2 linked regions of the Macaca mulatta genome follow. The protein of the gene in region 1 purifies or fractionates together with the protein of each later gene. This does not show direct contact. Links are inferred from orthologs where the notes say so. Each region holds a gene or a part of one and is shown in the gene's direction. Other genes may lie near its edges.

What was found. The genes of interacting proteins can lie anywhere in the genome.
Region 2: the proteins of ESYT1 (region 1) and SYNJ2BP purify together in Homo sapiens (affinity purification with mass spectrometry; 4 studies listed by BioGRID and IntAct, with this or other methods). This does not show direct contact. The link is inferred for Macaca mulatta from reciprocal best matches to the Homo sapiens genes ESYT1 and SYNJ2BP.

What each region holds. Positions count from the first base shown.
Region 1 is NC_133416.1:63,277,390-63,282,195, forward strand, and holds the start of ESYT1 (extended synaptotagmin-1), read left to right. Parts: upstream 1-1,687; 5' UTR 1,688-1,958; coding exon 1,959-2,306; coding exon of another isoform or gene 2,307-2,348; intron 2,349-4,251; coding exon of another isoform or gene 4,252-4,293; intron 4,294-4,457; coding exon of another isoform or gene 4,458-4,499; coding exon 4,500-4,592; intron 4,593-4,706; coding exon 4,707-4,780; intron 4,781-4,806. UniProt on the Homo sapiens protein: Binds calcium (via the C2 domains) and translocates to sites of contact between the endoplasmic reticulum and the cell membrane in response to increased cytosolic calcium levels.
Region 2 is NC_133412.1:143,571,257-143,576,282, reverse strand, and holds the start of SYNJ2BP (synaptojanin-2-binding protein), read left to right. Parts: upstream 1-1,637; 5' UTR 1,638-1,725; coding exon 1,726-1,789; intron 1,790-3,161; exon of another isoform or gene 3,162-3,350; coding exon of another isoform or gene 3,351-3,506; exon of another isoform or gene 3,507-3,557; intron 3,558-5,026. Other genes in the region: large ribosomal subunit protein eL39, read right to left, coding at 3,351-3,506. UniProt on the Homo sapiens protein: Regulates endocytosis of activin type 2 receptor kinases through the Ral/RALBP1-dependent pathway and may be involved in suppression of activin-induced signal transduction.

The sequences.
Region 1 (4,806 bases):
CAGTGGGCGGGGACACACCCTGTTTACTTGTGTTGGTAACTAGCTGCATTGCAGCTGCTGATCCTGTGGCTCCTGGGCCCCAGCTGGGACAAGACCTCCCTGAGGATGAAGTTTTATCCCCTATATAATTTCTGATGATCTGGATGAGGTGAGGAAGGGAGAAGTTTGGAAAGGAACATCCATAGGTCATCCTCTCCATTCGCCCACCCTCAGGAACATCTTACCCTACTCCAGTGCTTGGCAAATTTCAGTTTATAGAGAGGTTTCTCTCTCAGGAGTTTCATCCATGTTCCTGCTGTAGTTCTGCTTTATCAGTTGGTGAGCAGATCACTCATAATTCCTCCAAGTTCCTTGTTTCCTTTTCTACCTGCTCACCTCTGGGAATATGGAGGATGTAGGAGAGAGAATATTGTTTCTTAAATAGTTCTGCAAACTGAGTGAAGCAGTTGAGATACTACTGGCCCTAGGGAAGTAGAGAAAAGGAAGTGAAAAAATTTAAGGGGTAGAGGCTGGGCAGGGACAGGTTTTAAGCAGCTTTGGTAAACACAGGCTGATTAAATCTATGCCCTGCAGAACCAGATAAAATTTATCAGCTGCAGGCCTCATCCTGTAAGACACTTCCTCTAAGAAATGGCTAGTTTCTCCCCAATGATCAACCCCAGTTCTGCTGCTGCATCTGACAGATTTACGTAATATGCCCCACATATACTGCATTAAAAGGTAATCATCTTATGACCAACACTTCCGTCATCAACGTCCAGTTAGCCTAGTACCTAGATCCCAGGACAACACTCTACCTCTAAGGCCAGTTAACTAGTAACAATAGTCATCGGTGTACCCCGCACTTTTTCCTTCCTAAACCTACACAGTACACTGTGGGACTGCATTAGTTCTGCACCTGACTGGCAAACCTTCCTTCTAACTCAGGCAAATGTGAAAGGGAATTGTCTTTCCCTCACTCTTGATCCCTCATTTTAATGTCCTAGAAGTTCCTCAGGGTCAGAAAATTCTTGGAAAATGTAATAATTTGCGCTGCCTCCCTCCCTTTTGGAGCCAACTAGTCTTATACCCATCCTCTATGATAGAGATGACTTATTAACTCTTGGAAATTTCCAAAAAGAAATAAAGCCTCACTTTCTATTCACTCCTCTGCTTTTTTCCCCACTTTCCCTGAAGGCTGGATTATCTCAACTCTGTAATTCTCTGACTCTCCAGTTTTCTCCAGGGTCAGTCGTTACACCACACAAACAAGGTAGGGGATTGGGGACGGGATAGACAGGGTCAATCTTCAAACACTTTCATTCCAAATACGATCGTATCCTTTCCTTTTGTAAAGGCAGGCAGGAAAAGGATAAGGAAGGATAAGGAATGTGCTTAGAGTATGAAAACTAAAAGTCGGCAAAAGAATATATACATATCCCAGACCAAATCCTGCCAAACCGTCCGAATGAGTAGAGGGAAATCCTGACGCTCCACAACCCCTCAACTTGGCAACTTGGGCTTTCTCCAAAACCAAGAAATTGGCGGTGCGGCTCTCCATGACGTCATACCACAGGGACTCCAATCCCACGTGGGGGAGCTCTTGGTCCCGCCTCTCCTGAAATGGTGCACCACGCCTTCTCTTTATTACCAATCCAATGCCGCCCCTGAGCCCCTTTCTTCCTTTTCCCGCCATCCCAGACCTCCCATCTTGGCCTTCGGGCCCAATCAGGGAGGCCCTACCTATCCGAAACCCGCTGCCTTCCCCGCGGAAGAGGGGAGGAGTTTCAACCTTTTAACTCCACCTTGGTCTGTGCAGCGCGGACCAACCCAAATCGCCAGACAGGAGGGGCGTGGCTTGAAGTCCCCCACCTCCATCCCGGGGATCACGTTTTGCCACTGGAGGGGGGAGCTGATCGCAGGACTAGGCAACCTCCAGCCAGTCCCTGGGTCGGGCGGATCCTCCCAGAGGTGGCACAATGGAGCGATCTCCAGGAGAGGGCCCCAGCCCCAGCCCCATGGACCAGCCTTCTGCTCCCTCCGACCCCACTGACCAGCCCCCCGCTGCTCACGCAAAGCTAGACCCAGGTTCTGGAGGCCAACCTGCTGGCCCTGGCGCGGCGGGTGAGGCCCTGGCGGTGCTGACTTCGTTCGGGAGGCGGTTGCTGGTGCTGATACCGGTGTATTTGGCCGGGGCAGTGGGACTCAGCGTGGGTTTCGTGCTCTTCGGCCTCGCCCTCTACCTGGGCTGGCGCCGGGTCCGCGACGAGAAAGAACGGAGCCTTCGAGCAGCGAGGCAGCTACTGGACGACGAGGAGCAGCTCACGGCGAAAACTCTTTATATGAGTCATCGAGAGCTACCTGCCTGGGTGAGCGACCACCCTCGGTCCTCTGTGCAGCATAGCCCCCTTCCACTCCTTCCGTCTGGGGCTTTTCCTCCTTATGCCTAGAGTCAGCTCCCCGCCTTGGGACAGTGGGCCCCGGACTTTCCCCTTTCTCCCCGCTAGCTGCCTGCCTGCTGGACGCGCCACTCTTGGGACCGACTGCTGACTCTCCCCACCCACCCTTTCCTACGCCCAGACTGGATCCTTCCACAGAATCAGGACTTCTTCCTCTACTCTTGGGCAACAGCAGTCATAACATCTGGGGACCCCGTCTCAGCCGAAGCTCTCCCTCCTAGCCAAGCCATCTTCAACGCCCCTCTTGCTTTTGGTGCCACTCGCGCCTTTGCTGCTCCTGGAAATCCTGGTCCCGTTACCTCTCAAAGGTTTCCCTAGTCTTTGCTATGCTCCTCGAGACTTTTTACCTACTTAAGGCCTTACGGTTCTCTCTTTTCTCGCTTTTATCCCCGGGTATCCGCTGGAACCCAGCCCCGGCCCCTGGACGACCCTCAGGCAGCCACCTTCAGGCCTCCAGCCGCCAGGCTGCAGCGCGGCAGAGGCCGCTGCTGGAGGGAGGGCGGGGTACGGGAGGAGGTGGTGCGGCTGCTGCAGTGCCCGCGGCCCACACTCCCCCCCACCCCCTCGGCCGGCCACACCCGTTTCCGGACTGTGGGCTGCGCTTGTTCCGTTGGGGCAGAGACCCTTATTTCTGCGGCGGCCGAGTCTGCTGTGCTGAGGCGGATGCCTTCTCTTTAGCCTTGCAGAGGCAAAGCCCGTTACCCGGCCCCTCCCAGCAGAGGTGCCAGTCTAGGGGGAGAATGGTAGCAGAGAGGAGTCAAAATTGACACTAGGCAGATACAGCCAAGCTTCCTAGGCCTTGGACTGGAAAGGGGAGGAGAAAGAGGGTGAAATGGCCCTAGGGGACCTGTAGCCTAGGCAGCAAGTGTTTGTCTCCTCCCCGTCATCATGGAAACCAATCTACCCCCAATACAAAGCACAGGTGTCCTTTCCCTTAAAAGGAGTCACACAGAGAAAGATAGAGGAAAAGAAAAAAAAAACAAAAAAACACGCACACACACACCCCAAAAAACCCACAAAGCCAGGCCCAATTAGGTCTTCTGGCCCCTCCCTGACTCAAGGAAGGACTTGCTTCCCTCTTCACCTTCCTGCTCTAGAAGCCGGGTCTGAAGGGAGTTGAGAAGGCAGGACTTTTTTTTTTTTTTTTTTTTTTTTTTTAGACAGAGTCTCTCACTCTGTTGCCAGGCTGGAATGCAGTGGCCCGAACTTGGCTCACTGCAACCTCCACCTCCCCGGTTCAAGCGATTCTCCTGCCTCAGCCTCCTGGGTAGCTGGGATTACAGGCATGCACCACCATGCCCAGCGAATTTTGTATTTTTTGTAGAGATGGGGTTTCACCATGCTGGTCAGGCTGGTGTCGAACTCCTGACCTCGTGATCCACCAGCCTCGGCCTCCCAAAGTGCTGAGATTACAGATGTGAGCTACCGCGGCCAGCCTGGAACCAGGACTTTTTAAATCCCAGGATTCCCTGAAACTTTGATTTGACTGGGCCTCCCCCTCCAGAAAGAATGTGCCCTTCTCCTCCTCCTGCTCTTCTCTCTCTCAGCAGCTGTCATTTCACCACGTCCCTGAGCTACCCACAGGGCAACAATGTGACCTCTACCCTGTCAGCTCCCCTTATTAGAGAGATCTCAGCCCCCAAATTCTGTGAGGAATGAACCTTTGGGGCATCCCAGCCCCTCATCCACCCTGAGTGTGAGGAGTCTGTCACACTTACACACTCCCTCTCCTCTGTGGCATACCACCAGCATCTTGGTAGGAAACCAGAGGCGAGGGTGTGCACGTCACTGTCTCTGCCTTCCCCACCTCCAGGTCAGCTTCCCAGACGTGGAAAAGGCTGAATGGCTCAATAAGGTGAGGATTGATTTGATTTTTAGTCTTCGTGAGGGGAGAATGGGAATTTGTTTCTTCTTGCCAGACCCACCCTCATCCCTCAGTGCTCTCCGTAGGGATTCTGAAGGAACTTGCCTTGAGAGGGAAGACTGGGTTCTCCTCTGACCATCTCTCTTTCCTTCCAGATTGTGGCCCAGGTCTGGCCCTTCCTGGGCCAGTATATGGAGAAACTTCTGGCTGAGACTGTGGCTCCGGCTGTTAGGGGATCTAACCCCCATCTGCAAACATTTACATTTACACGAGTGGAACTGGGTGAAAAGGTATGTGTGGAGGAGGAAAAGTGAGGCGGTGGGATAGGGAGGGTGAATGACCCAGAGTAGACTGAGGTACTTCTCCCTTTCCCTCCCCTGTCTCAGGACTTTCTCTCTCCCTAGCCATTGCGCATCATTGGAGTCAAGGTTCACCCAGGTCAGAGAAAAGAGCAGATCCTGCTGGACTTGAACATCAGGTAATACCACTCACCACTCTTACTGC
Region 2 (5,026 bases), on another chromosome or scaffold:
AATCCCATTTTAAGATGGGGAAACAGAGTTCAGAGATGTAGGATTCCTTGGTCAAAGACAGACAAGTTTAAGGGAATGGAATGGAAACTTGAGCCCAGGTTGTAAGTCATAATCTGTGTTATTTCCACTGCCCCATCTTTTTTTTTGGAGACGAAGTTTTGGTCTTGTTGCCCAGGCTGGAGCACAATGGCACAATCTCAGCTCACTGCAACCTCCACCACCGGGGTTCAAGCAATTCTCCTGCCTCAGCCACCCTAGTAGCTGGGATTATAGGCGCCCGCCACCACGCCTAGCTAATTTTTTGTATATTTAGTAGAGACGGGGTTTCACCATGTTGACCAGGCTGGTCTTGAACTTCTGACCTCAGGTGATCCACCCACCTTAGCCTCCCAAAGTGCTGGGATTACAGGCGTGAACCACTGCGCCCAGCCTCCACTATTCCATCTTTACTTCTCTCAGAGTGAGCAAACAAGAGGCCTTCCTGCCGAATCTGCCCCTATCTCCTTCTGTTTGGTAAACATAGTTGCTGCTGCTTTGGTTTTTTACTATAAATTTGAATGTCTTTATATTGGCCTTGCACTTTCTACTCCTCTAAGATCCCCACCAATCGCTGTGGTCTAACTCCAGGTTGCTTCACAAGGTTGTCACCTTCCTGGTTCTTTAGGCTTTTGTGTTTTTGACCCCTGAAGTTTCATTCAAGTTCAGTTTGGAATATCTCATTCCAAAAGTCAGGAAGACTGGCCTAAAGTTATACCTAAGTCGTGAGTTAACCTTATTGTAAGAGTTAAAACATTAAAAAGACTGAATTTTCCCAGTTGCCAAAAGGATGAGCCATTCCCCTAGTCCCCTTTCTTAAAAAATTTTCTTGAGCAAATTCTAATTATAATCCGTGTGTGTGTGTGCGTGTGTGTGTGTGTGTGTGTAACTTTTTAAAAGCTAAATAAGCCTCTTGTCAGATAGAACCCAGGAATCTTTTTCTTCAGGTCCCGGGAGCCAACTCCTTGAAATGTAACTATCAAGGTAGACAGTGCCCCTATGATCCACGCTCGCGGGAGTTACCCTAAGCGACTTGCTCCAAGCCGTAAGTACCTGTTTGTCACAGAGATAACGTTTTATTTTTCCTTTGGATAAAGGCAATTAACCAACACAGACGGCCACTCCAACGGTGAACTACCAAAAATTGAATATCAAACCATGTTAACTCGTCTTACTTGAGAACGTGCGTGTGCTTTAGCTACATAAAAGGTGATATTGTTGTCTCTCTTTGCAATCTCATTAGTGGATTGCCTGTGACACTCATTCCGGTCTGGTTCGATGTTTACAGAATAATACAACTTTTTTTTCTTTTCTAAATTTGTGGAGATTTTCTAGGATGGCAGGGGATTTTTTTAAAAAATTTTTTCTCGACAATATCAATTTATTTAGGTCCCTTACTTTTACTAGCCACCCCTTCCCACCTCCTTCCAATGGCAAATTAGAATAACTTGCCCCTTGCTCACCTCATGCGTGGCCTTGGGAACTGGTGAGAAACTGCAATCCGTTGGCGGCAGGAACCACGATTCCCAGCATTCCCAGCGCTCTGAGTCCTTCGGGCTTCCTTTTCCGGGTCTCGAGGCTGCTGAAACCGAAAGTGCTGTGCTGTGGGCAGCAGCGCCGAGATTGATTCACCTTCTCCTGTGCGGAACTCCAGCTGACCCGAGTAGGAAGCCAGACGAGCTGTAAATCATGAACGGAAGAGTGGTTTATTTGGTCGCTGAGGAAGAGATCAATCTTACCAGAGGACCCTCAGGTATGTGCGGAACGGGTCATATCTGATAGTAGGGGATTAGAGGGTGTAATTGCAGACATCTCTGCTGCTGAGCCGGATTCACCTGGCCTCGGGGCAGGCCCCAACCTAGAGGTTTCGTGCAACGCTTTGGGGTGCTTAGAGAAAATATGTTGAAATCCATCATTAGCCAGATACGGATCTGAGGAATCCACCTCAAAATCCAGTCGGATGACCACAAATATATATAGTCACGAAAGGGTTCTTTCTGCAAATCGTGCTAGAAAAGTCTTTTTAAAAGTCTGCTTTTTTAGCCTGCTTGTCGTGGACACCACATCCTTCCTACCGTTGCCTGTTCTATCCTTCACGCTATGAGGGACCGTTTAGTAAAATGGGAGCATAAGCGGTGTAGACTCTGAATGCATAGCCGTTTTCCTGCAGCTAGGATCCCTCCCTCGCTCCTTTGATTTCTGGGAAATTCATTTACAGTGCCAACTAGAATGTTAAAGCAGGAAGAGCCCTTAGAAATCTTTTATTACACAGGTTCTCAAACTTGGTTCCGCCACAAAATTTCCCAGGGCTTTAAAAAAAAAAAAAAAAAAGGCCGGGCGCGGTGGCTCAAGCCTGTAATCCCAGCACTTTGGGAGGCCGAGACGGGCGGATCACGAGGTCAGGAGATCGAGACCATCCTGGCTAACACGGTGAAACCCCGTCTCTACTAAAAATACAAGAAAATTAGCCGGGCGAGGTGGCGGGCGCCTGTAGTCCCAGCTACTCGGGAGGCTGAGGCAGGAGAATGGCGTGAACCCGGGAGGCGGAGCTTGCAGTGAGCCGAGATCGCGCCACTGCACTCCAGCCTGGGGCACAGAGCAAGACTCCGTCTCAAAAAAAAAAAAAAAAAAGAAAAAAAAAGAAAAAAAAGTTAATTCTTATCTCCTATCTGCAGGGATTTGGATTCAGTACGGATTTATTTTATTTATTTATTTATTTAAGTTTTTTTTATGAACACCTCATGTGATTTTGAGCAGCCAAACTGCTATCCTCTTACCCCACTGAGGCTCTTCATTAAACTGGGCTCTTGACATTACTACATTCTGCCTTCTTTCGACTTTGTTTATTTTCCTTTACAGCTATTTAGTTGATCGATTAAGAGCTTTAGCTTTGGAATTACAGTATCTGGGTTCAAATCTTGTATCTAACCGCTTACTGATTCTTTGATACTTATTGGCTCACCTAACTGATGTAAGCCTTAGGTTATCATCTCTAAAATGGGGATGGTTATAAATATACTTCATAGTGTTGTGAGAATGAAATGAGTTAATCTATGTAAAATGTTTACAATATTGCCTGACCTATGGTAAGCAGTATGTGTTTCCTACTGTTGTTATTGTTTTTTTTTCTTTTTTTGGAATGAAAGTCCTCACATATTTATTACTGAACCCAGCCAACCAATGCATTCATAATAGATTCAGAGAGGAAAATACGTCGAACTCTCCAGAGAGTGGTGACATTTTCAGTTTGATATGGTAATGTGATCGTGACCTTCAGACAGCACAAATATATGTGCCATCTCATGTGCAATTCCTTATAGACCCAGCTTGGTTCTTCTCCAATGTCTCCTTTTGGAGTTGTACCTTATTTTATTTCCAGTTTTCATCCGAATCCACTGGGGAATGGGACGATTTTGCTTTTGTTTCTTGGCCAGGAATCGCTTAATCCTGAAAGTCTTGTGAGAAGACATGGCGAGAAGTGGAAGCAAGAACACACCACGATGGCGGAGAAAGGAAAAGAGGGGGTACTGTTGTTATTGTTAATGGATAAATAGCTAAACTGACACAGTAGATCCTACTAATACTGTATTCCAAGAGTCTCTAATAAATCATCAGGTACTATGAGCTCCATCTCTGAAATGTTCCTGAAATCCTTTCACTCCTTTTTCCCTTGCCACCACCTAGGACAGCCCATCACCTTTTCTCACTGCAGTTCTGCAGTAGCTTAATCATCATGGATAGATTATTCTTTATAAAATATAACTTTCAGAATTATCCATACTTTGTGTCTTTTTTTCTTTTCTTTCTTTCTTTTTCCTTTCTTTTTTGAGACAGGGTCTCACTCTGTTGCCCAGGCTGAAGTGCAGTGGCATGATCTCAGCCCACTGCAGCCTCTCCCTCTTAGGCTCAAGCAATCCTCCCACCTTAGCCTCCTGAGTAACTGGTACCATGGGTGTGCACTGCCAGGTCTGGCTAATTTTTTTGTATTTTTGGTAGAGACAATGTTTTACTACATTGCCCAGGCTGGTCTTGAACTCCAGAGTTTAAATGATCCACCCACCTCTGCCTCCCAAAGTCCTGGGATTACACGTGTGAGCCACTGTGCCTGGCCTTCCTTTCTATTATAAATAATTGGAAGTTGGTTTTACTTATTGTAATATAACCCATCACTAATATCATTATTAATATTATTATTATTTTTTTTTAGAGACGAGGTCTCGCTTTGTTGCCCAGGCTGGTCTTGAACTCCTGGACTCAGGCAGTCCTCCTACCTTGGCCTCCCAAAGTGCTGGGATTACAGTCATGAGCCACCATGCCTGGCCTATCACTAATCTTAATGGATTAGTGTCATGGATTATGTGCGCCTAAACTTTTGTCAAAGGTTCATTTGGTATGCCCAAGTTTCTTGGATTCATTTTTTTGCTATTTTATGTAAATTTATCCTTCACGCACTGTTAATATTTATTGACTTTTGAGCTAACAGAGAGTTACTTTTAAACCAAAGTCTGTTTTTTTGTACTTTTAATCCATTGGTAACTTGTTCTCTTAGGACCAACTAAAACAATGCTAGTTCCTTTTCTGATTGCTGTCCAGGTATTTATTTAAAGGCTCTAGTTGTTCTGCTCCTGTTTTGCCTCTTTCTTCTTTATCCTACATATCTTCAGTTATTTTACTACCTCTCCAGATGCTTGAGATTTGATTCTTGCCTTTTGCTTAAGAATTTAATGTACTTTGACATAGTCTTTTTGCTGGGGCATCCACAGTATTTTCAGATCTCCTGTCTAAAGCAGAGCAGGACCCTGATATTATCTCTTGTTCTAAACATGAAATCTTTTAAAAATTCAATATAATTTCACTTCATTTTTTTTGGCATTTGCAGTCATAAATTTCCTAGTGTTAGTATTTTCTCAAAACATTGGCATTAGGACAAGCTTCAAGGACTAATTAAAGGGAATAATTATATCTAGCTAGTATATTTCACCCAAAAATG